4 linked regions of the Notamacropus eugenii genome follow. The protein of the gene in region 4 binds, or shares a complex with, the protein of the main gene of each other region. Links are inferred from orthologs where the notes say so. Each region holds a gene or a part of one and is shown on either strand. Other genes may lie near its edges. The genes, in order: BET1L, STX18, STX7 and VTI1B.

Region 1 (5,517 bases), on a different chromosome or scaffold from region 4:
AACCCCTGCAGAGCTCCAGTGACTCCTCCTGAGGCGGCCGTCTGTCCGCACCCAAGCCCGCAGCCCCGGGGCAGCGCTGAAACCCTCCCTAGTCACAGTTCGATCTCTGCGCGTGGGAGCGGCCCGGAACGAGCAGAGGCTCGTTTGTTCTCTGGGGGCCCACGGGCTACACTGGGGAGACCCCAGTCTCTTTTCCCCACATCCTCCGCGTGCTGCTCTTAGGGCTAACATGGGTTCTCCTCGTCTGCACCCTCAGATTCTTCAGGCCAACCTCCCCGCCCACAAGGTGCCAGCATGGCGGGAAAATCTGGGATCCCCGGTCAGCTGTGCTAACGCCAGAGACAACAAAGACCTGCCTAGGAGCCCGGGCCTGGGGCCCGCTCTCCCTCCCCTTCCTTCCTGGGCCCTCCCATTTCACGCTTCGTGGGACTTCACGCAGACGCTGCGGGCCTTCTCCGTGGGGGCGGGGCTGGGGAAGAGAACTTGAAATTCACAGTCCGAAAGTTAAGAACCAGACGCGTGGCCGCTTGGACGCCAAGTCCCCGAGTCCAGGGCTGCCTCCGGCCCCACGCCCGGCCCGGCAGGCCTGGCAGCCGTGCCCACGGGGGCACAGGTGGGGCGATGCGAGCCCTGGGACCGCGTGGTTGGGATGGCTTTTCCCTTTTATTCTCGCCAAGGAGGGCAGGGGGCTGGTACAAAAATAGGGTCCGGGAAGCGCTCCACGGGCCCACTCAGGTCCGCGCTTTCGACAACAGGTAGGAAAGGAAGAAGAAGAGGATGACGAGCCCCACGGCCACGCCCAGGAGCAGCCGCCGGTGGTCCCGGCCCGAGCGGGTCATGCCGGAGAAGCGCTTCACGCTGCCGGTCAGCAGGCTGGTCACGCTCGAGAAGTCCGAGTCCTGGGGCACAGAGGGCGGGGTGAGCGGCCGGCGGGGGCGCGCGCGGGCACGCGCGGGCACGCGCACGCCGGCCCGGCCCTCCTCCCGCGCACGCGCCCCTCACCATGCCGTCCAGGTAGCGGTTCTGCTCCTCCGCGTCCCGGTCCATGTCCAAGGCCAGCTGGGGGGAGGGGCAGCGCCGGGGCTCAGTCGGCGCTGCCCCTCCCCCGGCCCTCCCCACGCCCACCCCCTCAGCCCGCCCCACCCCCGCGGCCGCCCGCCCCACGCCGCCCCGCGGACACGCACGGCCTTAAGGCGCGTGACCTTGGCCGCCAGCCCGTCCGTCAGGCGCTGGTTCTCGCCGTCCAGGAGCGTGTCCGTGTCCGTGTCCGCGACGGCGCCGCCCCCCGGGCCTGGGCCTGCGCGGAGCGGGAGGGGACAAGGATCAAGGGGGTCGGGGAGGGAGCGAGGGGGGCCCTCGGCCCCGCCCCCCGCCCCTCCCCCCAGCGCCGCCTCCCCCCAGCGCCCCCTCCCCCCAGCGCCGCCCCCGCCTCACCCCGCGCCCAGCTCGCCATGGCCGCCACCTCCCGGTGCCGCAGGAGCCGAAGGCAGTGCGACGCGCGTGCGTGCGTGCACGCCGGGCCCGCCCCTTCCGGGCCCGCCCCCGAGCTTCCGGGCCGCTGGCCCCGCCCGCGCCGTGAGCGCTCCGAGGCGGGGGGGGCGGGGGGGGTCAGGTTCCCGGTCAGGCCCGGCCCTGGGTCCGGTTAGATCCAGTGCGCATGTGTGAAGGGCCCACTGTGTGCGGGACCGCGTAACGAAGCCACGCCCGTCTGACCGCTTTGCTGGGGCCTCGCCCCTGGCCGTCCCCAGGCCCCCTACTGTGGCCGCGCTCCGCCACATCACGGGGGGCACGTGGAGCCAGGCGGGCAGAGACGTTCGGGGCGGTGCGCCTTTGCTGCCCCGTTGGCCTTGCCCGCAGCGGGCACCAAAGGGACGGCGCCCGTCCGGCCTTGTCCTAGGGGGCCCGGGCACCTTCTGTTCCAGCAGGATCGAGTCCCAGCTTAGCCTGGTCACTCACGTCCTCCCGGCGGCCCCCGGAGTCCAGCTCCTGAGGAAGCCACCTCCAGGAACGGGGCATCCGACTGGAGCCCCACTGAAGGAGGGCAACGAGCCTGCCATCCCCCCTGACGTGGCCTGGCTGCAGCCCTTGGGGATGCCCCCCACACATTCTTTTCAGAAGCTTTTGGGGGGGGGTGCAGTCTTCCTGTCAGATTGAGGGCAGGGTGCCTGGCAATTAGTAGGTGATTAATAAATGTTTATTGACTCTTGAGAGACCAAGCTTCCACAAGAGATCTTGAATTCATGGCTCGCGTGAAGGAAGAGGTGAGATCAGACACAGGGCTGAGAAGGGGCAGCCCCAGGCACTGCACCAGACCTGCCCTGGGTCCTGGTCCACCTCCACCACCTCTCAGAGAGCATCCTGTGAAGGAAAATGAGGGTTGAGGCCTGGACTCTAGCCCTCCCACCTCTCCCCCACCCCACTGCCCACCGTCTGGCACCTGCTGTGCCCCTTGGGGAATGCTGAAGATACCCAGGGCCCATGCCACAGCAAAGGGAGTCCACCCTCTCACATGAATGTCACCTAACTAACCTCTTGGTGAGAGAGGCATTTGTTGTCTGGAGAGAGTCTGGGGGGAACATGGGAACTGCTTTCAAGTTCAAATGGGGAACACGATCACGTGTTCACTTTGGAGAGAGAAAAGATACATAGGAGAGTGAGGGAGAAGGGAGAGAGGGGATAAAGGATAGAGAAAGAGGGAAGGTGAGAGGACAGAGGAGAAAGGGAGGGAGAAAGTAACAAAGGAGAAAGGGAAAGGGGGGAGGAGTCAGGGAAGGAAGGGGAGAGAGAGGAGTCAGATGGGGGGCGATGGCTGTCACATCTGTCTCCCCTTTTCTTGCCTCACTAAGGGCTCCTAGCTCCCAGTACAGTTTCCCAAGTCTACACTGCTGAAAGCACCGGTGTTCCAGTTCACTCCTCCCAGCCTCAACCCTTCATGGCTTCACTGCTGTGGCTGGCACCAGGCTCTCCACCACCCCCCCCCACCCATGACCCAGTGCTTCCGAGCCTGAGTGACCAGGAAGCACCAGGCTCTCCACCACCACCCCCCACCCATGACCCAGTGCTTCCAAGCCTGAGTGACCAGGAAGCTTCCCCTGCCCCCAGCAGTGCAGGACACCTCCTTGGTTTCCTCATTCTACCCTCCCCACCTCCTCAAGGGCTGTCCATTTCCCATGCGCATCCCCAGGGAAGGTGACAACAGCTGGCCGACCACATCCTCCACAGGACAGCCACAGCCAGCAGCATCGGGCCTACTTCTTGCAGGATTCTGACCCCAATACAGAGGTCAGTCTAATAGTCCTCACAGTCCAGAGTGTGAAAAAAAAAGATAAAAACAAGGCTTCTGATATATTAGGGACAACTAAAGGACACTAGAGGAGTCTGGAGTCAGGGAGTCCCCAGTTCAAATCCAGCTGAAGTCACTTCTGTGCTGTGTGTCTCAGCTTCCTCATGTGTAAGATGGGGATCGTAACAGCCCCTCCTCCTCAGGAATGTTACAAGATGATCACTGTAAACAGCTGGGCACAGTGCTGGGCACACAGGAGGTGCCGCACATACACATCAGCCCTTATCTCTATCTCTAATGCTTCTTTATTCTGCCTCAGACCACCCCAGGAGAGGGCGCCTCAGCCATACGCAAGCTGAGACGCTCCCATGCTAGCCTCCCAGGCCTCCCCTACCTTGGCAGTCTCTCTTTGGAGAAGGGCTTCTATCTCCTCCGTCCAGCCCAGGGCCTTCACCAGAATCTCCACCCCGCTGATGATGTCTCCCAGCTGGACCACATCATTATGACGAGGCTGCCAGGCAAACGGTCCCACCAGCTCTCTGTTGATCAACACCCGAGGGACAGACCTTCTTGATGCTTGGGACAGGCTAGCGAAAGGCTCCACCTGAAAGAGTGGCAAAAGCCCACATCACCCAGCCATCTTTCAGAGGCTCCCAAAGCCCTGGGAGCTGCTTGCTATACAGAGACTGCTCCCCCAGCCAGCATCATCTCATCCAACATGTCTCAGAACGTCTCCAGAGATCTCCAGGAATGGGGTGTGCAGCCTCCCAGGGGCTCCTGGTTCTGCCCCCAGGGATGGGGGGCTTCCCCTGAGGCTTCAAGTACCTTCCAATGTACAAATGCCATTCCCTCCCTCCATTCCTTTCCAGCTTACTCTGGAAGCCTGGGAACTCCCCAGCTCAAGAGGACATTCTTCATTTCCCCTCACTTAATAAAAGCTGGCCTAACTGAATTGTGGGTAAGACAAAAACAAAGAAAAAAGAGACAAAACCAAAGTCTCTGCCCTCATGGGAGGAATTGGTTTGGCTTGACTCTGCTGACTTGTTACAAAGACTGGGTAGACAGAGGGAAGGCAGGGTATTCGAGAGGAAAAGGTGATAAGTCAAAAACAGGGAAGACCAAAGGGTTTGGTAGCCCTCAGCTTTGGGGAAAACCCTCTGCCCCCAGGCTCTATCAGCCACGGAAGGACTCTTCCTGACAACTCCCATGGATCCCTATGGCCTTTCCTGGCCCCATGCCCACCATCTCCCAACACTGAAGCCTTCCCTCTATATTGTACATGCCTAGTCACTGACCTGTCACTCCCCCTTCTGAATGTGAGCTCCCTGAGGGCAGGGCCTGGCTTTGCCTTCCTTTGTATCCCCAGACAGTGCTAGCACACTGTAGGTGCTTAATAAATGCTTGTTGACAGGAAGTAGTGAACCCAGTGAAAAGGGCAGAAGAAGGTTCCTCCGAGGTCTTCCCTTCTCCCTCAGCCTCTCACTTGACCAAGGCCATTTACTGCTGGTTCCTTCCTTTCCTTTCACCTCACACCCCTGGACTCATGCAGAGCCCTCTGCCCCACTCCCCAAGGCCAGCCTTTCTTCCTGGACTCAGTCCCACCCCTACTTCTTCTCCAATCTCTCAGGGTTTCCTGGCTCTTTCACCAATGGCAGCAAAAACACCCAGGTTTCCCATCTTTGAAAAGATCTCACTAGGTCAGCTTGTTTTGTTAAACTGTTTTCTGATCTTTCTTGTGAATGATACCTGTATTGTAGGTGGGGGAAAGGGGATGTGTTGGGAAATGCAGGTGAGGGGCCTACAAAATCCCTCCCTGGTCACCACCCCCAGTACTTCTTCCTCTTTCCTCAGCCAGAGTCCTAGAAAAACTTGTCCACATCTGGTATCTTTCACCCCTGGGCTTCAAACTGCCCCCTCCAAAAAGACCAAGGAATCATCCAAATTGGCCCCGCCTGCCTCACTGTCCTGGATCAGACCCTCTCCTCCCACCCACCTGGCCTCTCTTCTGCTCCTCCTCCTCTTTCTCCTTGGCTGGATCCTCCCCCAGGTCCTGCTCCCTACCTGTGGGGGGGATCTGTCCTGGCCCTTCTCTCTCTCCTCTCTCACCTGGTGGCCTCATCAACTCCCATAGGCTTGTGACCTTTATGCAGACAATTCCCAAAGTGCCCTGGACACCTCTACTTGCATGTGGTCCACTGTCCCCACCCATCCCCCTCTGTCCAACCTTCCATCCT
Region 2 (7,893 bases), on a different chromosome or scaffold from region 4:
AAAAAGTGCTGCTATAAATATTTTGGTGTATGTGGGGACTTGTTTCTTATTATTAGGTTCATTGGGATATAAGTTCAGTAGTGGGGTCTCTGTTCCAAAGAGTATGTAGACATTTTAGTCCCTTTAGTCGCATAATTCCAAACTACTTTCCAAAATGGCTGTACCATCTCACAGCTCCACCAACAATGTATTAGTGTTCCTATTATTCCACAACCCCTCTAACATTGAGTACTGCCATATTTTGGTCATCTTTTCAAATCTGTGAAGTAAAACTACAAGCTTCCTTTGATTTACATGTCAATCAATCAATCAATCAACATTTATTAAGCATCTGCTATGCACCAGGCACTATGCTAAGCACAGGGATACAAAAAGAAGCAAGAGACAATCCCTGTCCTCAAGGAGCTTAAAATCTGATGAGGGAAACAACACGAAAACAAATATATAACAAGCTATGTACATGATAAATAGAAAATAATTCATAGTGAAAAGGTATAGAATTAAGAGGATTTAGAAAAGACTTCCTCTAGAAAGTAGAATTTTATTTAGGACTTAAAGGAAGTCAGGGAGGTCAGCAGTCTGAACAGTGGAAGGGAGTGTTCCAGGTACAAGGGAATGCCAGAGAGAATGCCTGGAGCTGAGAGATGGAGTGTCTCATTCATGGAACAGGCAGAGGCCATGTCACTGGGTTAAAGAGTATGTGTTGGGGAGTAAAATTTAAGAAGATTAGAAAGGTAGGACTAGGTTATGATGGACTTTAAATGTCAAACACAACAGAAATCTTTTACACAGAAAAGTTAATGCACTTGCGATACAAAGGGAAGTAAGCAAGAAAAAAGCTTTGTATCAAATTTCTCTGATAAGGATTTGGTATCCAAGATATATAAACAAAACTATATACATACATACACATACACATACAGAGGGAGTGTGTATATCATTTCCCTTCGTATGCTAGGTGCGCTCATTTTGTCTCTGCAATCTGGACAAAAGCCTTTAATTTTTATCTTTGTAACATCTCTCACATACATTCCCTTCTCTGACACTGCCACACCCTGGTGTAGGCCTTTATCGCCTAGACTATTACAAACAGCCTGTTGCTTGATCTCCCTGCCACAATTTTCTCCCCACTCCATTCCATCCTCAGCTGTCAAAGTGATCTTCCTAAAGCACAGGTCTGCCCATGTCACCCCAATCAATAAATTCCAATGGTTCCCTGTTACCCCTAGAATTAAATATAAAAAACTCCATGTACTCTGTGATGCAATGAAATTGGCTTCCTTGATATTTCTTCCATGTGACATCCCATCTCTCAACTCCTAATATTTTCACTGATTGACCCTCATACCTAGAAATGTTCTTCCTCATCTGTGCCTATTACCTTCCCTGAGACTTCAAGCCTCAAGCTAAAGTCCCACCTTTAGGAAAAGCCTTTACCAGTCCTCCTTAATCTTAGATCCTTTCCTTTGAGACTACCCTTAATTCATCCTGGATAAATCTCATCTGTACATAGTTTGTATATTTTCACTCCTACTAGAGTGTGAGTTAATCAAGAGCAGGGGGTGTTTGAACCCCCAATGCTCAGAACAGTGCCTAGTATATAGTAGGCACTTCATAAAACCTAGCTAACAGGCATTTATAAATTTACAAACAAGTAAATACATACATATTGGAGATACCTGTTTAAAAACATTTTAGTAAGGATGCACAATAAAAAAAACTGGAGGACATTTATCTGATTCAACCTGTTCCAGAGAGAATGAGCCTTCCAATATCCACAAATGTAAGCATCTAAGCCTCGGTTTTAAGACCTCCAGTGAAGAGGAAGCCCATTTCACCTTTCATTAGGATCACAGTACTATAAATTCCACTAGTGCTGGGGGGAGGAGGGGGTCCTCAGAAGCCATCCAGCCAAGGCTTCTCATTAAAGAAACTGAAGCCCACGTAAGCAAAGTTACTTACCAAGGTCACTGGGATGGCATGTGTCAGAGACAATATTTTAAAGAACTATATCCAAAGCCTGTCCCTCATCAACCTGTACTCATCCACCTAAGTTCTGACCTCTAGGCCAAGTCTAATCTCTTTCACAGGACAATCACTGGTACACTTGAAGAGGCCCATCCTATGTCTGCCTGGGGCAGGGACCCCACTCATCTCCCACCACCTTACGCTGATTCATATGATGTCAGGACCGGAAGGGGTTTGGGGATCATTCCCTGCAGTATCTAGGTGACACTGTGAGGAAGCCACTTGGCCTCTCTGTGCCTCACTTTCCCCATCTGTGAAATGGGGATAACGTACAGCACCCACCTCCCAGGGTGGTTGTGAGATAAAAGGAAACACACGTAAAATGCTTTGCAAATCTTGAAGCAGGATATAAAGGCTGAGGAGTTGCGGTTACTAACAACTAACATTTCTACGGCACCTTATGGCTGTGCCAATACGGTGCCACCCTCCTCTTACAGACCAGACACCTGAGGCCCACAAAGGTCTCAAGCCATCCACGAACACGTAAAAAGCTAAGTGCCAGCCTTCGGGAGGGACCTCGGGGACCACCGGGTGCCGCCGCGTCCTTCCACAGACGGGGTACACTGAGTCTCGCGAGGTTTCACCGACTGACAGCGGGAGGAGACCAGAGGGAAGCCCAGGAGCCCCGCTACTCCACGCGGCTACCTTCCACGGCCGGGCCCCCTCCCCCTCCTCCGTTGCCCTGGCAACTCACTCACCACTTCCCGGGCCCGGCTGGAAAAGTCCCCTTTGGGGCGGGGGCTCCGGCGAAACAGCTCCTCCCGGGCGCCGTCCGAGCCGCCGCCGCCTCCGACGGCTACCCCCAGGGCCTTGTTCCGGGTCTTCACGGTCTTCACGCTGGCCCGGAACAGCAGGGTGATGTCCACCGCCATGGCGCCCCGACTTCGCAGCCACCGTGTCCGCCCGGCCCCGCCCACTACGGAGACAGAGGGGGCTCCGTCCCTCCGACCCTCCCCCCGGCAACCGCTGTCAGGCAACCGAGGTTCCGCGCCCGTCCCAGCCGCCGGAAGTAGCGGGCTACCTGCGCGCTCCCGGGAGGCGCTCTCCCCGCCCCTTTTCTCGGGAGCGCGCACGCCACGCCACGCCACGCCCCTCCTCTCCCCCCACCCCCCCCACCATCTCACGGGTGTCTGCGCTCCGGGCATCCGCTGGCCTGGGAATCCCGGGAGTGTAGAGGGGGTGGGAGGGAGCCGCGGGGCGTAGAGGCCGGCAAACTGAGGCCCGGAGAGGGTGCGTGACCAGGCGAGGTTCGGGTCCAGGGGGTCGGACTAGGCTCAGGGCCCCGGGCGCCAGATTAAACGGGAAGCCGCCTGAGGGCAGGCATGGAAGGCGCTTAATAAATGCTTGGACCCACCCCCTTCACGTTTTTAAATAATTAAAGCAAATGCTAAATTTCAGGGAGACTTTAGTGAAAATAAAAACGTCACCTTCCCCCCCATTGCTGGTCGTATATCCCTCTGAAATTTTACGGGTTTTTGAACCCCAGGTTAAGAGCCCTGATCTGGCCCAACCCCCCCTTTTTATTTTACAGATGGGGAAACTGAGGCCCAGGCTGACTGGTCCGCTGGTCCAGACCTGTGTTCTAAATCCACAGAGGTTGTGGAAGCTGCCTGAAGTCCTGCAGGAGATGGTTTATTCACGTCCGTGATCAGCCACCTGCCAAGGGTCCTGCCTTCAAGAACCTTACATTCTGAAGGGGTGAGCTGGAGTCGCCTTCACGCCTAGTTTAAGCTTTCTTTTTCTGATCAAGTTACGATTTGTGGCTCCCCGACTCATCGTGAGGACCTGAGAAATAGTGACGTGGTGGAATGTATAACAATAACCAAAATCCTAAATGTGGTTCTGAGCATCTGCCCCTTTTGGTGCCTTTTTCTCCACTCCCATCCCATCCCCTGTCATTGCAAAAAAACAAAAACAAAAAAAGGCTGAGGGCCATTTAATTTTTTTTATGCAGTTTCAGTGACCTAAGAATCCATCAACTAATAGCCAGGCTTCCATATTTAGCTAGATTGACCCTCCAGGAAACTACTAACTTATAATAACCAGCGTTTATAGAGCACTCTAAGGCTTGCGAAGCACCCACAACAATACTGTAAGGCAGGTGCTATTATGTCCATTTGACGGATGAGGAAACAGGCTGAGAGGTTAAATGTCTTGCCCAGGATCTCCTAAATGACTGAAACAGAACGGGATCTCAAGTCTTCCTGACTCCAGGTCAGCATCTTTCCACGGCCCCACCTAGCTGCGTTGTCTGCTTCACAGAAGTTACAGGAATTTGCAGTCCCCCGGAAATAGCCTTTGAGGCTCCAGAGTCTCTTCTACACTACAATGAATCACTGAAGTTCATCTGGGGAGGTCTGGTTCCACGGAATTTGGAACATTAGTAGATGCATTGTTGAATTCTGACCAATTCACTTAGTGTTATTCTGAAAAGAAATAAAGAAATGTAAAAAAAAGCAAGACTTTGGTATGTTAATTAGATGCTCATTCAACAATAACTTAACTGAGTACCTGTGCTGTGCAAAGTTTATTTTATTTTGTTTTTAGGAACTTGGGTTCACTTTGCTTAGGAATTCAGAAAATTGGTGACTTTTTTCTAGTTTGAGGTTTGGCTCAAGAGTGAGGTATCGCTGAAACATCCAGGGGTGGTGTGTTTCGTGACTTTCTAAAGCAAATCTAATAGAGGAATGAGTGTACATGTCAAGAACTTAACTGCTTAGAAATAGGAAAAACGTGAAAAACAACGGCAACTATGCATTTATGCCTCTGTGGTTCTGTTGTGACTGACTCTCTGAGACCCTATTTGGAGTTTCCTTCACAGAGATACTGGAGAGGTTTGCTATTTCCTTCTCTATCTCATTTTACAGATGAGGAACCTGAGGCAAACAATGGTAAGTGACTTGCCCAGGGTCACACAGTTGGCAAGTCTGAGGCCAGAGTTGAACTCAAGAAGAGTCTTCCTGACTCTACGTCAGGTACTTTAACCACTGCACCATTTGCCTCTGCCGTCACCCAACCTGTTTCTCAAACCAGAGTGAGTATCTCCAGTCTTCCAAATGTTCCATGCCAACTCCCTAGCCTAAAATGAAGACAAAAAAACTTCTCTTTTCTCACTCCACCTTCTTCAAGCTTCCTCCTCTCCATCTCCAACTCTTATTATCCCCATAATATTAGGCATATCCAGAGGTATGCAAATTTCCTCAAAGCATTCAAATTGGAAAGAGAGAGAGAAAAGGAAAATATATAAGTAACTGCTATAGCTAACTAGTTATGTGACCCTGAGCAAGTCTTTCAATCAATGTCTGCCTCAATTTCCTCCTCTGTAAAATGAGGATAATAACATTAAACTCCCTCCATTGGTGTGAAGAGCATGAGATAATATTTGAAAAGCTCTTAGCACAGTACCTGCCTGGCACATAGTAAGCATGTCCTTCCTATAGAATAGATATGTTTATTGCCTTTAAGGCACAAGCACATATAATTATAATTCCATACACTATCTGATGAGTGCATTGGAGATTTGCAAAGTGCAATGTGGATTTCAAGGGAGAAAGTCATTAATAATTAGAGATGGTGAGGATTTTGTGAAAGTACCAGTCTTGACTGATTTCCCTTTCTCTTAATTGTTCATTCCCCAAAGATCAATCTGTTCTTCATCTTGGATCCCTTTTGCCTGACTCCATAGGAAATCCGTATTGTCCCTTAGTCTCCTTGTCTTAGCTGAATATTGGCAGGTAGGGATTTCATATCAGGTACAAAATCAATACCTGGGAGATCTTCTTGAGGAATGATTTCAGATGTTGGAGAAGTGATCAACATTCAATGTCTATTCACCAACATTAGCAGCAAATATGCTAAACAAAGAAAGGAAAAAAATGGTTACATGGTAATTGCCACTTTAAAGTGAAAGTAGAGCACAATACACAAAACACATGTTTCTATGAGTGATTTGTTGAAGGATATATAGCACAACTGCCCAGGCTCAAAGATCATGGAGAAAGGGCTGCCTTAAATATTTTTCCCAGACCTTTGAAGAAATCTTCCCATCTTCACAGAAACAGGATGTCCCACATTTGCTGAGGTCAGGAACCATGATTTCGAGGCTGATCTTAAAGCATTTTATAAAATACTAACTATTAAATGATAATTGGCTAGGAATAATAATAATATATAGATAGCACATACTAGATGTCAGACACTGTGCTAAGTGCTTTACAATTATTGCCTCATGTGATCCTCACAATAACCCTGGAAGGGAGGTGTTATTATTACCCCCATTTTACATATGAGGAAACTGAGCGAAACAGCAGTTAAATGACTTGCCCAGGTTCACACAACTCATAACTCTAAGAGCTCAGATACGATCTCGGGTCCTCCTTGCTTCACAGGAGTTGGATGCACTGCCTTCTCACCCTTTCCTGCCTCAGCTATCACGTCTTTTTGTCACAGCCTGCAGTCACAGGGAGCAGACTATGAACTCTTATCACCTATGTTTTCAGCACTGAGCTACAGCACATGTTTCTTCCCACACATCCAAAAAATGCTTATTCAGGTAGATGAGAAATATGTCCAGTTTGGCACACCTGTTCTTTTCCATGATCATTTCTGTTACCCTGCCAATTTCTAGATCTTCCTTTTAAGTTAAGTGTGAGAGTTCATTTCACTAATAAATAAAATCATGTAAATAATAGTTTTAACCTGAGTTAACCAGGATAAGTCAAAACTCTGGGGAAACTGTTAATCCATTCAACAGGCATCCATTTATGGTACTGGAAGGAATAATGTAGAAAGTTCAAGTTCGCTTTCCCCTCATCCTTCATTCCCTTGGAATTTTTGTTCAACTTTTTCCTAATAATCTGCCCCAGGAGTTTCACAAGTCATCTTATAAAAAATCATCAACATGGCAGAAGCTAACTGCCTGATACAGAGTGGAAATTCCCCCTAGAAAACTTCTGCCTTGGTTTTTGGCATAATGCTTTGGTTTTCAATGCAAGTTTCCACCTTCTTTGCTTTTCACGGGGTCTTCTGTAATTAAGATGTCTGAGTCCTATATATTGAGTTGGACGTCAAGACACTGAAGAAAATACTTTAGCTTGAACTTTAAAGAATTTAATAGGAAAATACTTTTCCTACATCCTGTTTCAAGGGGAAAATGTGATTTTTAGAGGACATTTTATAGTTCACAACAGGATATTGAAGGGCATTTGGTTTTGCTTAGTTTGTTATGACTGTGTCTCCCCAAGCACAAAGTGGAGAATTCGTAATTATCTGGATTAATTCAATCAAGGTAAATAGTCATAGAATCACAGAGTTAGAAAGGGCATTCGAGAGCATCTAGTCCAACCTCCTTATTTTGCAGATGAGGAAACCAAGGGCCAAGGAAGTTTAGTGAATTGCACAATTTCACAAAATGTTAGTCGAAGAGCTGGAAGTCAAGTCTCTTGACTCCTCATTTAGTGCTCTTTCACAGTAAAATTGAGTCATTCTGATCATAAAACTGATCTGAGGATTCATGTTATACAGTTTAGGAAGGGAAAGGCAGAGGAGGGATAATTCAAAGGGTTATTTAACCATCTAAAAGTATCTGTAAGTAAGAGTAGTGGGAGAAATGATAATCAGTTTCGTGTGCATTAGGTTTTGTTTTATGACACCTTTGTAAGGAAAGATATTTTAAAAATTCTCCTTTAATTTTCTAGACAGAGCTTTAAGGTAAAAAAAAATCACATGTAATAATACAATTCAACAAATTACACTCAACAAACATTGATCAACTACCTACCATCAATAGGGCTGTGGGCTAAGCACTGAGAGATAAAGATGGAAAAGAGACAAAGGCTCTAGGATTTTATAGTAAAATAGGAGAGA
Region 3 (7,442 bases), on a different chromosome or scaffold from region 4:
AGAGAATTCAGCCTCACACAGATACGTTTGGAAAAGAGAGAAACATTGCATACAACTGGAAGTTAAGATATACAGGCAATGGAGTATAGAAATCTATTTTGCCCTACAGGAAAATAGAGGGGAAAGGGAATGGAAGAAGGGTGGGTAAAAGAAGAGAGGACAGACTGGAAGAAGGGGTGGATGGGGTGCATACTGTCCTAGGTAGGGGGTAGGGAGAGTTGGTGTGAAAATTTTGAATTCAAATTCTTGTGGAAGTGAATGTTGAGAATTGAAAAATAAATAAATTATATATTAAAAAAAAGAAAAGATTGAAGCATTTCATAATTGTGAATATCTTCTTTGATGCTATATCAAAACTTGACCAGTTACTGTTACAAATGTAGTGGTAATTGACAAAGGTATGAATCCAAAACATTATCAATAAAGTTTTTATACTGCTATATTAAAAGTCATTGTTCCATATTGTGCTTTGAATGGATCCTTTACTCATTCATGGTTTTATAGCATCCTGCTTTGATCATTTGGAAAATATTGGTTCACTAAATTATACATAACTTCCAAATGTTGATGCATTTCATTATACAACATTGTAAAATCATATTTATTTATATCACCCCTAATCTCATCAGAAAAATCTTTAAGTGTTGGAAAACTTTCAAACTCATTTTTGGTAGACACACATTTTCCAAAATTCTATTTTTGTTGACATTTTAAATTTTGTCTTTAGCAACAAATTCTATCAATTGTTTTCCTTGAAGTAAGCAGACCATTGCACTTATTTCTGGAAAAAAAAAAAACTACCATGTATCCAAGTCTGAATAACAATAGTGTGTCTTATTTCATTCAAGTAAAAATGGTGATCTATGAAAAAAAGTGCTTGTTCATCTGGCAACTCACATGATTGCACAAGTAGTCTTCCTGGAGACAACCATCACTCTTCAGCATGCAGCAGAAATGGTTTATATATATACTTCCCATTTTGTCACACAGAATACTAAAAAGACATTACTGAAATGTTGAGATTTAATAAAATTAATATTTTCTATTACTTCATCAAGGACATTCTTAAGTTAAACTTTTTTTTTCATTGCAGGTGAATGGGGATGATGAATACAATGACTACTGGTAAAGTTTAGAGTCCATCCCTTGATTTGTGCTGTGGCACTAGGAGTTTTATCTAGAATTTTGTAACATCAGCACAAAAGTCAACACAGTTGCTCCAGGATAAGCCATGAGATTCAAAAAAGTTATTCAACACTTTGTGTATTTCAGCACCATTTGTGTTTGTTGCCAAGAATTCACATAAAGTTCTTCAGTGATTTGCTGGAATACAAGCAAAACATCAGGTTTAACCATGTTCATACATTTGTCCAAATACAATTCTGTAGATGAGATATCTTCATTATTGCAGCCAAATCTTCATTTCACATATCAGTGGAAAACTGCACTATACAATTGTGAAAGGATAGTGAAAAAAGCAAATAACATCTTAGTATTATTGTGAAAATAACTTTGACCTTGCAAACCACTTGAAAGGGTCTCTCTAGGACCTACAGGAATTCTCAGATCATACTTTGAGAATAGCTGTTCTAAAGGAAACAGATATTTCTAAAACAAATATGTGATAAAGACCACTCACTTCCTTTCTGTTAAGACACAGTCAGTTTCATAGAATTACAGAACTTGAGAGTTGGAAGGCACCTCATTGGCCTTTAAAAGGTGATCATCAAAAAAAATTCCTCTAACTTCTTTATAAGTTACTAGCATATGAGCATGAAACTTCTGAATAGTCTATAAGCCTCTGTGCCTTTTGGTTTCTTATTATTGTACCATATTCTCTATCTAATCTTACCATTCTCCTTATACCCACTTTTGTCTTGAAGTCAGAGATTCATTTCATAGATAGATTCATTATTGACACAAAGTAATCTGTCTCTCTCCCTCTTCCCCACTTCATCTTCATGCATAATACTATATGTATGTATTTGTGTTCATATGTATATTCCCACCTCATCTATTTCATTTTCTACAGTAGGTGTTAGTACAAGTCTTCATGATGGATTTGTTTGTTCTAATTAATTAATTTTGCTTAAGCTCATTATATGTGCTTTAGGGTGAGAGGGTCTAGTACCATACAGAAAATTGTATTTCTTGTTGCTCCCTTTGTTGATCAGTGGTCACAATAAGATGTGAGTCTTACCTTCCAAGGAAAAATTCAATCAAAATATTTTTCTAGCCAGCACAATGAGTCCAAACAATGACCTCACCCCTGTAACCTTTCCAAGTTGACCTTCTCATCCACCATCTACATTTTATTTACTTTGAGCAAAGCATCTATTATCTTTCCATGTCAGACAGCATTTCTCAAACACAACAAAAGTTTGTCTGGTTTTTCTGACTTTACAGTAATTTCACATTAGGATTAGAAAGACTTGCCTTTCTCCAGGCATTTAAAGCCCTTTATACCTTTTTAGTCTTCTGACATTTTACTCTCCTCCATTCATTCTTGCCCCAGTTATACTGGGCTAATATTGTAACAGCAAGGACCCCAGCATACATAGGAAGGCCTGCTATATAGGTTCTTAGATCTGTTTTTCTAAAAGGAAAGTAACTTTTAAAGGGTCAACAACCTACTTTAATCAAAGCATATACATCATTCACTTGGTTTAGGGGGAAAAGTCAGCACCCTGAACTTCAGAGAAAATACAAACAGAGAAATAAAGATCAACAGACAGATCCAACTGTCTGACCATCTATGCATAGTTAGAAGAGAGAGAAGCACCAATATGTGGGTTTTCAAAGCCAGCAGACTCCTTAGTGGCTTACCAGAGTCTTATATGGCACACAAACCTTCCTTCAAAAACTAAGCCCCAAAACAAAACTTCATCTCAGAGTATTTATACACTTTTCAGAGCTAGAGGGCAGGACCCTCTGAACCAGTGTCTCAGTAGAAATTAACAAAAGGTATTGAGGCTTATCAATGGGCAGGTAGTGAAGATCTTTAACTCTTCCCTCCACCTACTATTAACCTTAAATTACCATTACTACTACATACCCTCAAGTAGCATATTCTGTTTTTCATCTCCATACCTTTGCACTGGTTCTCCCCCATGCCTGGAATGCTCTGTCCTCTCACTCCTATCTTCACCTCAAAAATGAATCCCTAAGACTCATTTTAAATTCTGCTTTCTACAGGATGGCTTTGCCTATTACTCCCAAATGATAACACAGAGTACCCTTCCAGATTATATATGCGTAAATATATATTCATGTGTAATATATGGAAATATGATACTATAAATAGACTTATCTGTAAATATATGTGTTTTAATGATGTGGTTTGAGAGGTTCAGGGACCCTTTAAGGACTGAAGTACAGAAGAGGGTTGTCTGAAATTAATTCAGGAACTTGGGTAATCTTTAAATCAAGATTGCAAAAGTTTATTGTAATGCAAATATGACTGACAGAGCTCCTTAAGAAACTTGCAACTTAAACAGGAATGATGCTAAACTTTTATAGGAAATGTAGTAGATTATCTGGCAGATATGCTAATTAGGTGATAACATATAACACACAGGCCTCATTCACTACTGGAAGTCAGGGGAAGGAAGGGGTTTCTCATCTGTGTTTTTTTGGTCCCTCTGCAGCAAGATAGCTTTGAGAGTTGATATCTATAGTTTGACTTCTGGGTTGTATACTATAACTTTGGGAAACAATACATGATGATTCTGCTGGTACAAGAGAGTCTTGTTTTTACAAGAGAAATTCTACAAAGGTCAGATTGTTCTTGGAAGGGAGAAACATAGTTTGTCTTACTGGGGCCCGCTGATGAGTTATTGCTAGGCTGGGGTAAAAAATTGTCAGGGATAGTGTTTTGAGGCAAGGGAAAATATGATGTTGGAAGAGGGGTCCACTATCAGCATCAGTAATGTAGGTAAATACACATATCTATCCACATATGTAATCTAGGTGAATATAAGATGTATACAGATAGTCTGTATATACACATATAGAGATCCATACAGTCTATCTGTTTATTTATATATCTTAAATTGACCTAGTTATTTTGTCTACTTATTTACATGTTGTCTTCCCCCTTCCCCGTTATCTTAGACTGAGCTTTTAGAGATCAGGAACTCTTTTTGGGGGGGTCCCCTATTTTGTGTCCCTAGCATTTAGCACAACAAACGCTTCTTGGCTATCTGACCGCCATCACACTCTGGATGTTACTTTTCTTCTGCGCCTTTACATTTTCAAGCCCAAACTGTGACATCTTTGTCTCCATTTTCAGGCCAAAACTGTGACATCTTTGTCTCCGTCAGCACAAAGTCAAAAGCAATAATCGTCTCTCTCTTCCCATTTCTAGGCGGAGAAAACTGGGCAGAAAGGGCGGGCTCTGACTCCACCCTGAGCCCCAGAGCGCGCTTCCTACCTAAGGGTGAGTCGGAATGGAAGTTCCGGACACGTTCATTGCCATAACTGCCAAGGGGTCCGTGGAAAAGGGATTCTTTTGGCAATGAAATGCAATTTAATCATGCCCATGCTTCACACCAACAGGTTGGGATCTTCTGCGTCCGCAGAGGGCGGCGGCGGCTTTCTTCCCGGTAAAGGAGACGGACAGGTAAGCTGGCTCCTGACAGTACACACCTACCGAAGGGCTCAGCTACGTCTGCTCGCCGACTCCCTGCTTCGCGCAGAAAAAAGGGCGGGGCGGGCAGGAAAGGGTGCGTGTCACTCAGCCCTCGGGGCCAATGAGAGAGCTCGGGGCCCGCCCCCTTTCCTGGGCTCTGCGGCCGGGCCAGCGCAGCAGGGAGGCGGCTGCTGCGAACCACCGCCCATCAGCTGAGAAATTCAGCCGGGTGCCTTCCGGGACGCTTAGGGGTGGCCGTCGGTGGAGGAGGAGGAGAAGGTGGAGGTCTCGGTAAGAGGACGTCTGGGGCCCCTGGGCCGTCTGGCGCCCGCGGAGCGGCGCCGCTGCCCTTGCGGCCTGCCCGCCGCCTGCGGGGTCTCCGCAGCCTTCCTCCGGCGGGGTGTAAGGCGCTGTCCGTTGGCCGCCGCCCTGGGTTTTGCCGCAGCTCCTGGACAGGGCGGCCTGTGCCGCGGGAGTCGCAGCCACGGACCGGGCGCTGCTTGTCCCCGCCTCCCTTCCCCCTTGGCGGGGGCCGGGGCGGAGGAGGCCTGAGCAGTTTCTAGCTGCCTCGGGGCTGACGGGCGTTTTTTCCGGACCTGACAGAAGGCCGGGGGGATGGGGGATGGGGGGCTAGTTCCGCATTCCCGCCCAGCCCAGCTGGCCCCGGGACGGCCGACTGGCCTCTCCCTCCCGGGGTGAGCCGGCGCCCGCCCCAGTTGTGTTCCCCGGTCTCTGCCTGTGCTCCTGCGGTCCCTGTCGCCTCTGTATTCCCAAAGCGCTGCCACCTGAACCTGTTGCTGAGAGGGCACTGGAGAGTAAAGCCAGTGCCCATGCGGGCACCAGGGGAATGTGACTTGGTGTAACACTCCTGTCCCTCTGCCTGAGCCCTCCCAAGGCTTCTCTTTCTTTGCTCATCCGGGCATGAGCACCATGCACAAAGACCACTGCACACGTGAAGTCAGGAGATAGGGAAACAGCTCGTGGTGTTCCGTCCCCTGATTAAAAGTTCTGCTGGGAAACATTGCCACAAACCCTGGCGGAGCTAGCTGACGAGAAATTCATAATTGTGCCCCTGAGGGATGGAGTTGACCTCTTCCTCTTTTCAACTTGTGTTTAATAAACAAGTCTCCAAGTATCATTCAGGAACTGAAAAAAATAGACTACTGTACTGAAATAAATGAACCATAATTTGTATTGTCAGGAAGTCACACGTTCGGTTAAGTTCTTTTGTTGACTTTGGTTAAAATTTTTAATTTTCAGTTACTTTTTTAAAAAGTTGATTATTATGAGTTTTTGAAACAAAGCAGAGTCCATGTTCTTCCTAGTCACTTTTTTTCTTACATTTCCCGTAAATAAAAAAATGCATTGCCTGGGTTACATCACATTTTTTTTAACCTTTCAAGTTATTTTAAATTGAGTAGTTATCTTAAATGTATTGAGGTTGACGTTGTTTGCACTGCCTCCAATATATTCCAGCTATGCTTGTTCAGAACAACTTCCTGCCTATGTGTGGACTCAAGCAAATCATTTTTTTTCCAGTTTTGTGAAATACTTCTCAGCTTGGTAAAGTCCTGATAGCTTAGCAGGCAGCCCTTCTGGACTAGCCTGTGCCACACCTGTGCAAAGATTGATAATGGTTCTGACTTAAGTCTTGTGATATGGAATGAGCAGCAGTAGCAGGTTGCTTCAAACTTGTGACTGCAGGATTATGTTCTGGATTCTTAGTTTCCACATCAGTTAATAAGAGACCATATTAACTCACTAACACTCTGTCCCATCTTTGTTTTTTTCTCCCCTCTGGTCACTTTACTTTACTCCTCATGACACAAATCCTCTAAATTCTAGTCACTAGTTTTCTCTAAGTTCCAAATATTTGGTGCACACAAGTAATACAGGTGTGAATAAAGTAAGAATGAACTTAAATATGGAATTCTAATTGATCCCAAATTTGGGTGCTTGTTGTGGTGAAAGTTGTGGTGAACATGAAAAATCTTTATGGTAATGTAAGCTGAGATTGAAGAGATTTTGGATGGGCTAGAAGAGCTCTGAAGTGAAGCAGATGTTTTTAAAAAAAAAAAAAAAGCTCTAGAGAGAGAATCTCCAAATAGTCTATGATACTTTCTATACTGGGGAACAAGTTTGTCGACTACATATTGTTACGGAATAATAACAATAAGGGATAGGTATTGAACCTGCCATTTCATTGACATAGAGAACTCCCACATGTGGAAACTGCTTCTACCAATGCATATTAGCACGTTCCCTGAAATTTGTAGTTTTAGAGAGTTGCCTAGAACGGTGATAGATTAAATGAATCGTTCAGGGTGTGTACATCAGAGGCAAGACTTGAACCCAGGTCTAACTACTACACCAGACCACCACAGTAACAACCATAATAAACACCTTCTAGTGTTCAGGTCCTTCTAGACCAGATGCAATTGATGCTTTTTTTAAAAGGCACTTGAAATTTGATAAGACTTAAGTATTTCTACATTATACTTCATGCTTTCTGTCTGTCTTTATTATCAGTGTTCTGATAATAGCATTCTAAAGCTTTTTCAAATAACAGAAGAAATAAAACATGTTCTAACTATCAGAACCAAATTCATCAAATGAGAGAGTTTGGTCCTTGAAGGCATTCTTAAATTCTGGTTCTTCTGTGTTGTCATTGAGTCGTTTCAGATGTGTCTGACTCTCTATGACCTTATTTTAGGCTTGGCTTGGCAGAGATACTGGAGTGGTTTGCCATTTCCTTCTCCAGCTTATTTTGCAGATGAGGAATTGAGGCAGACAGGGTTAAGTGACTTGCCCG
Region 4 (6,963 bases):
CAGGATAGAGGGTAAAGGTAAGGATTATGAGGTGTATGTTTGTGGCACGGTACCTAATATTTCACACATATAGAAAAAATATTTTAAACAGCTAAGAAATGATCTCAGAGGCTAAGGAAAGGCCTAAAAGATAAAGAAGTAACTGACTGGACACAGTGCAATTTGAGTGGACACTACATTTATCTGAAAGACAGTTCTCCAAACCTGTCTCCTTCCTTCTTTGGCCATGATAAAGGACTAGGCAGAGAAGGTCAGGTTGAGAATGAAACAGATGCAATGTACTGAGTTTTCTGGTTTTCAAAGAAAGCTGTACTTATGCATCACATAGCACCAGGCTAGAAATCTCAAGCACTGCATGTTGCCACATGCACCTCTAAGCACAGAGAACATACTTCTTATCTCTAAAATGAATTCTCAAGTATTACTAGACTTTAGACGAAAGGTAAATCAAAAATGCATGCTGTTTTTCATTAATATTGTGGCTTATTTATGATCTCTTAAGTGAAAAGGAATACTATTTCCTCCTTAAAAACAGAAACACCTTGAACCCATAAGGATAAAAATTAGAAGGCCATACCTAAACCATCAGAGTTGAAAATCTATTCTATTTTTAAATATCCAGAAAAACAAGACATTCCTCAACTTCCCTTATTAACTTATCCCTAACTCTAATACCGTTTGACACAAATTCCCCATGTTTTGGCTTCAGCACAGTGCCTAAAGATTACTACTAATGGCATCTAACATTTACATAGGGCTTTGAGGTGTGCAAAGAGCTTAAGAAGTATTATTCTATCTGGTCAAGTTTCTTCAGTTGAATTAAACCAACTTTCTCTAATGCTGCTTCCAGTAAGGAACAGCTGAGATGGTGAGGAGAGCACATAGAAGACGGCTGACTTGACATAACTGAATCAGTTCAACAATGCAGGATACTTAGAAGAGTCTAAGAGGAGCTGTATCTGAAGTGAAGTTCCCAGAACTACAAAGCAGTTGAACTTTTGATACACTAGTACTGAAATAAGACTAGACAGGTGCCCTAAGTAAAAAGCAAAACTAGGGGAGAAGCACATCATCCCCAGCACTAGTCAGCGGCCCCACTAAGTAAGCAACACAAAGGAAGCTATGTTGGAAGGCACAGAGGAGGGAGGTGGCAGTGCCCTGTTGTCAGACCACACGGAATATTTCATTACTTTCCAGGCACCAGATTTTAGAAAGGACTTCAGTAAAGCAAACAGCTTCAGGAGGAGGGCAACCAGGAGAATGAAGGGTCCCATGCCCTTTAATGACACTGCTGCCTTCCCTCTGCAAGTATTTCCAATTTAACCTGTATATCTCCTTTGCTGTCAGAATGTCACCCCCACTAGACTGTAAGTTTCTTGAACACCTGGATTATTTTTTTGACTTTCTTTGTGTGCCTAGGGCTCAGCACAGTACTTGGTACATACCAAGCACAATAAAAGCTCAAAGACGTGACCTGACATATTTGAACTGGTGGAACAACGTAGGAATGTTTAGCTGGGAGAAGAGTGGAAAAGGAACTGGGATGCTGAAATGAGAGGAGGTAGTTTTGCTCGTTCCCACAGGGCAGAATGAAGAGGAATGGCCAAGAGGAAAATATAGGTTTGACTTAATGGAGGAAAAAAAGCTCCCCAACAGCTGTCCTTTGGTGAAATGGTGAGCCTCTGGCTGGTTCCCCAGTGGTAATGACTGTCCCCTCATTGGAGTCACCTCGGCATCTTGATGTCATGTTCCTCTTCGAGAACGAAGGACAAACACAACAACAAGACATCTTCAAGAAAAGGGTCGGGGGGTAGGTAGGTGGCCTACTATGCGCCAAACACGGGGTTAAGCCCGGGAAATGTCAGCTCCTGCTCCCCCAGACGTGGGTAAACTGAACACAACCAGCAGAAGGGGACAGAATTCAGAGGTACAGGGGAGAGCCTCCTGTTGTAGAAGGTGGGGTTTTAGATGAAATTTGAAGGAAATCGGGAGATGTCTACGAAGAGGGAGGGCACTCCAGGCATGGGGGACAAGCCAGAGGAAATGCCTGGAGTCTGGAGACGGCGGCGTCTGGACTTTTGGTTGTTTGTCTTGGTTTTTTTTTTTTTTTGGGGGGGGGGGATGACTTGGTCGGACTTGTGCTTTAATAAGATGGTTCTAGCAGCTGAGTGGTTAAGGACCTTGACGGCAGACATTATCTTCCCTTTTTATCCACTGTAATCCCAGCGTGCCTGGCACACAAAAGCGCTCCCAGAGGCACTTAGGAAACGACGACGGGTTAGCCTGGAGTTGGGGAGCCTCGGTGCCCCCCAAGAGCTTTCCTCGCAACTTTGCGATGGAAGCCCCAGGAGGAATGGAGAAATTTAAGAGAACGGGGGCGGGGGTCCCTGGCACCTCGGGATCCCCGGACACCAGCCCCCCTGGCCCAGAGGACTCACCGGTCCCCCCGGTTCCCAGGAGCCTGTCGGGGACCCCGCGCAGCTCATCGTACAGCCCGCGGAAGATCTCGTGCAACTTCTCGAAAGGCTCTGAGGACACAGCAGCCGCCATGGCGTAGGGCGAGCTTCCCCGACACCGGCAGGGCCGAGGTCCCGGGCCGAGGGGCCCGCTTCTAGCCCAGCGTCGGGCTCAACCGCCGTATTAGCGACTCCATGGCCCCCAGCTAGTTCGACCGTCGCCACAGCGGAAGGCTAGGCGCTTCCGGGAGACTGAAGCAGCGGGGTCCTTTAGAGCCGGAAATCGCTCCACGAGGTCCCACCTTGCCACCCACCGGGGGCAATCCAAGATATGCCTGATGAGAAACCTAAAACATTTCCGCGTAAGGCAGGGAGAAGCCGAAGCCACCCTATCTCTCTTCTCTCGTCCATGAGCCGTGCTGTGATTTGGGCGCCAGACTGGAGACGACTAAGCTGTCACAAGTGGGTGAGCGAGAGTTAAGAGTCACCCGTTGCACTAGGCGATAATGGAAGAGAGAAAAAAAAAAACAGGGCCGTAGGAAAGCTGTGGTTTCGCGGTGCATTGAGGGAGTTGTAGTTCGACGTAAGCGACTCGTGACAGTCCCGGTGATAAGGCGACATGCTTCCCCAAGACGCGATCGGATTGTGCGTCATCACGCATAGTCACGTGCCAGTCCACTGAGACTATCTGCTTCTCTCTTTTTTTTTTTCTCCAGCTAAGACTGGTTTATTAACTCTGAAGGCTTGATGCTTCCTCTTTTACAGGTCGGGCAACTGAGTCCCGGAGAGGATTTACACATAGCAGCCAAGGTGATTTTCCTAATCCTAGCAAGTTTTTATTTTTTAAACTTTATTGATATTTTGTTTAAAATTATAGATTATTCCCGCGTCGTTACGAGGTCTCTTAAAACAGGTACAACTCAATACAGGGACCTCGTCTGAAAGTGCAGGCGCCATATTTTTTTTTACTTGGTTTCTCTTGGGCTTTCTTGGTCTGCATTTTCTTTTGCAACATGTCTAATATGAAAATGTTTTGCCTGACTGCACCTGTATGATCAATATCAAATTGCTTGCCTTCGAGGGGGGGGAAGGAGGTGGAACTCCAAATTTTTTAAAAGAATGTTAAAAATTTTTGTTTGACATATAATTGAGGGGAAAAAATAAAAAATAGATTAAAATGTAATTGAGAAATATTTAACAATAAATTTAAAATCCACAAAAAAGAGGTAAAAAATAAAAAATAAATTAAAATGTAATTGAGAAATATTTAACAAAATAAATTTAAAATCCACAAAAAAAAAGTGCATGCAACACACCAAAAAAATCAGAAATTAACAGAATTAGGCGGATCAGGTATACTGGAATGAAGAAACATGAGAAGACACTCCTGTGGGAGGTCCAGGGGTGTTACACGTTGCACATGCTTTCTGATTTTTTCAGCATGTCAATCAGTGGTACTGATCTTTCTTCCAAAAAAAAAAAAATAACAAACTGCACCTATTTGTTACACAAAAGATGGCTCTCTGGGAAGGGGAGGGAAAAAGGATATGAGGGAGAGATATGTAAGGAAAAGAAAACATCAATAAAAATTTTTTTTTCACAGTAATCTATTTTCTCTCCCATTTTAAAAAAAGATTAAAAAAGGAAAGTTTTTGTAACAATTATACATTGTCAGTTATAAACAATTATAAATTTCTCTATTGACTATATCAAATTGTCTCCTCATCATCTCTCTAATAGTATATTTCATTGTCCCTCTTCTGCAGTTATGAAGTGTCATTGTATTAATCACAGTTCTTACAGCTTTCAAAGTTGTTTTTACAGTGTTTTTGTCTAGAATTATTGTGCTTCTGCTCATTTAATTTTTTAGTAGTTTATAAGAGCCTTCAAAATTGTTCATTTTGATCATATTGATGTTGTAGTATAAACTGTTCTTTTACGTCTTAATTGAGAGAAGGTTTTCACTTGTTTTTCCGTTGTGTCTGACTCTTTGGAGTTTTCTTAGCAAAGATGGTTCACCATTTCTTTCTCCAGCTTATTTTATAGATGAGAAAACTGAGGTAAATAGGGTGAAGGAACTTGCCCAAAGTCACGCAGCTAGGAATTTTCTGAGGCCAGATTTGAGCTCAGGAAGATGCTTTCCTGACTCCAGGCCCAGTGCACTATCCATTGTACCACCTAGTTCAGTATTCACTAAACTACTGTGGCTCCCTTTTATCTCCAAGATCAAATATAAATCTCTTTATTGTCATTTAAAGCCTTTCACAGCCTGACCCTTTCCTACCCTTCTAGCCTTCTTACACAGTTACTCCTCACCACCATCCATCCATACACTGGCCTACTGGCTGTTCCTTGATTGGGGCCCTGCCTGAAGGCTTCTCTGGACCTTCCTAGCTTGAGAGTGATTATCAATAGTAACTGTTGCTGTTTCCCATCCTGCCTGATGGCTTTCTTTTTCTTAACCTCATTAAAGGAGCCATGCCCTGGCTACTTCTTAAACAGACCTATTCAATGAATGGGAGTTGCCTCACCCTAAGTAAGTACCTGCAAAGACCTTGGCCTAAAGGTCTCCCATTGCATCTTGGGCCATCTCCAGTCATCCTGATGAATATCTGGTCACTGGATTCAGATGACTCTGGAGGAGAAGTGAGGCTGGTGACCTGCACAGCCCTCCCACACTCAAAACAAAGTCAAGTGCAAGTCATGTCATTATTTTTCTGATGGTATGATGTTCCTCAGCAGTGAAGGATGGACACAAAATGCCATTCCCTATTCCAACTCCATTCCTTTACATGAAGTTCCCTTCTAACTTCTGCTTCCTGGCTTCCTTCAAGTCTTGACTTAAATTCCATCTTCTGTAAGAAATCTTTTGCAGATACTTTGGGTTCTCTCCTGTATGTCTCAAAGGGATTGTGTATTGTTTTGTGCTTACAGGACCTCCCTTTGTACACAGTGCTGATTCCCAAGCCAAATCCCAAATTACAAGTAGGACTGCGAAAGGTGTTGAGGAGGGTCAAAAATTTTGAATTTTTTCCCAATTAAAAGTGACTGATCAGGAGTCATTTTCCAATCTATAGTAATACAATTTGGTTTTTGTTTAAGTTTGCCTTACTGATTGCAAACAGAATCACATAAGTCCTGGATGTTTGACCCCCTCACCCACTAGGGGCATCCCTTCTCCCAAGAACAAAGGGACATGTGCACCTATTCAGCAGTTGGTTCAGTTAAAGGCATAGCTGGCATGTTAGATCAGACACATAAATATTAGACTCTCCTGTTCTCCCAACCCCAAGGGCATAAAACTGGGCATAAAATGAAAACAGCAAATACATAGTTCATTCTTGAGGATTAGTGACATCAGGAAGGTGATGCCATGACTTGCAAGAGAATTGGAATTAAGTGAGGGAAGGCTGTGCAAAGTCAACAGCTTCACTCTCTCCTCCAGAACCATTCGGGTCCATTGGCAAGATATAGATCCGCACATATGGAGATGGCCAGAGATGTAGTGGGAGACCTTGGCTTTTTTAAGCTAAGGTCTTAGGTCTGTTTGTCTGAGGCAACACCCATACAGTGCTTAAGGATAGGTGGTGTTGTTTGTCCTTTGTTGACCAATAATAACATCAGGAAGGTGATGTCATGACTTGCAAGGGAATTGGATTTACTATGTGGAGTACCACCTCTGTCTCTAGTAGATAACAGGTGAAGGATTAGGTCCTAATTATTGGGTGAAACAAATAAGCCTTCAAAAAACAGTCATTGGTGTTGGGATCCTTTTCCAGGTTAACTGAGTCCATGAAGTCAATCAGGAATTTCTTCCTTTGCTGCTCAGAGGTCAGTCATGGCAGACTGATGTATTCAGGTCTTCCATTTATTAATCTTGGTGGCAGTATAACTGGTCAGCAGAATATGATAAAATCCCTACTGAATGACTCACTTGGTCTCTGTATACCACAACATACCTGTAGCCCATAGGCTTTGGCAGTTCAGCCTGCAGATTTTCTATTGGTACAGCCCATCACCTTCCCCCATTTTGTCACAGTTTTCTTCTTTGAGGAGTTAAACTGTTGACAAGAAAGGGAGCTAGAGACCATGAAATGGGTCTCTGCATTAAACACTGGGCAAACCATGACGTTACAACTTGCAGTTCAAAGTCCTTGGTTCCCAAATCATATCAATCCAAGCAGACAGGTAAAAGGTCCATTACACACATATGGCTAATAAAACAAGCAAAATTACAATAGGATGAATACAAAACCCAATATAGCTGTAGCTTAAAGAGTGTGAAGTCATTTGGCACCGACCATGATCTTCAGAAGTCTGATAAATACCTCTTGTACATCTCAAAGGGCTATGCATGGATCAAGCCAGGTTTGTGGAGGTATTTCCTCAACCATCTTCAGGTTCTAGGCACTTGTAGAGATTCTCTGGGTAATGCCTGCTAGTGATAAGACTTAATATAATTTTGTAAAATGTGACAAAATCTAATCAGATTGACCTTTAAGTAATT

The links.
Region 1: VTI1B (region 4) and BET1L share a complex: the UniProt entries of both Homo sapiens proteins name them as parts of the SNARE complex. The link is inferred for Notamacropus eugenii from reciprocal best matches to the Homo sapiens genes VTI1B and BET1L.
Region 2: VTI1B (region 4) and STX18 share a complex: the UniProt entries of both Homo sapiens proteins name them as parts of the SNARE complex. The link is inferred for Notamacropus eugenii from reciprocal best matches to the Homo sapiens genes VTI1B and STX18.
Region 3: VTI1B (region 4) and STX7 share a complex: the UniProt entries of both Homo sapiens proteins name them as parts of the SNARE complex. The link is inferred for Notamacropus eugenii from reciprocal best matches to the Homo sapiens genes VTI1B and STX7.

What each region holds. Positions count from the first base shown.
Region 1 is NC_092873.1:28,167,692-28,173,208, reverse strand, and holds BET1L (BET1-like protein), read right to left. Parts: upstream 1,570-5,517; 5' UTR 1,454-1,569; coding exon 1,435-1,453; intron 1,298-1,434; coding exon 1,185-1,297; intron 1,060-1,184; coding exon 1,003-1,059; intron 900-1,002; coding exon 732-899; 3' UTR 523-731; downstream 1-522. Other genes in the region: SIRT3 (NAD-dependent protein deacetylase sirtuin-3, mitochondrial), read right to left, coding at 2,347-2,358, 3,678-3,887. UniProt on the Homo sapiens protein: Vesicle SNARE required for targeting and fusion of retrograde transport vesicles with the Golgi complex. Required for the integrity of the Golgi complex.
Region 2 is NC_092877.1:61,755,697-61,763,589, reverse strand, and holds the start of STX18 (syntaxin-18), read right to left. Parts: upstream 3,013-7,893; 5' UTR 2,901-3,012; coding exon 2,727-2,900; intron 1-2,726. UniProt on the Homo sapiens protein: Syntaxin that may be involved in targeting and fusion of Golgi-derived retrograde transport vesicles with the ER.
Region 3 is NC_092873.1:217,747,396-217,754,837, reverse strand, and holds the start of STX7 (syntaxin-7), read left to right. Parts: upstream 1-4,416; 5' UTR 4,417-4,438; exon of another isoform or gene 4,439-4,557; 5' UTR 4,558-4,621; intron 4,622-4,802; exon of another isoform or gene 4,803-4,921; intron 4,922-7,442. UniProt on the Homo sapiens protein: May be involved in protein trafficking from the plasma membrane to the early endosome (EE) as well as in homotypic fusion of endocytic organelles. Mediates the endocytic trafficking from early endosomes to late endosomes and lysosomes.
Region 4 is NC_092872.1:312,456,950-312,463,912, reverse strand, and holds the start of VTI1B (vesicle transport through interaction with t-SNAREs homolog 1B), read right to left. Parts: upstream 3,018-6,963; 5' UTR 2,551-3,017; coding exon 2,439-2,550; intron 1-2,438. UniProt on the Homo sapiens protein: V-SNARE that mediates vesicle transport pathways through interactions with t-SNAREs on the target membrane. These interactions are proposed to mediate aspects of the specificity of vesicle trafficking and to promote fusion of the lipid bilayers.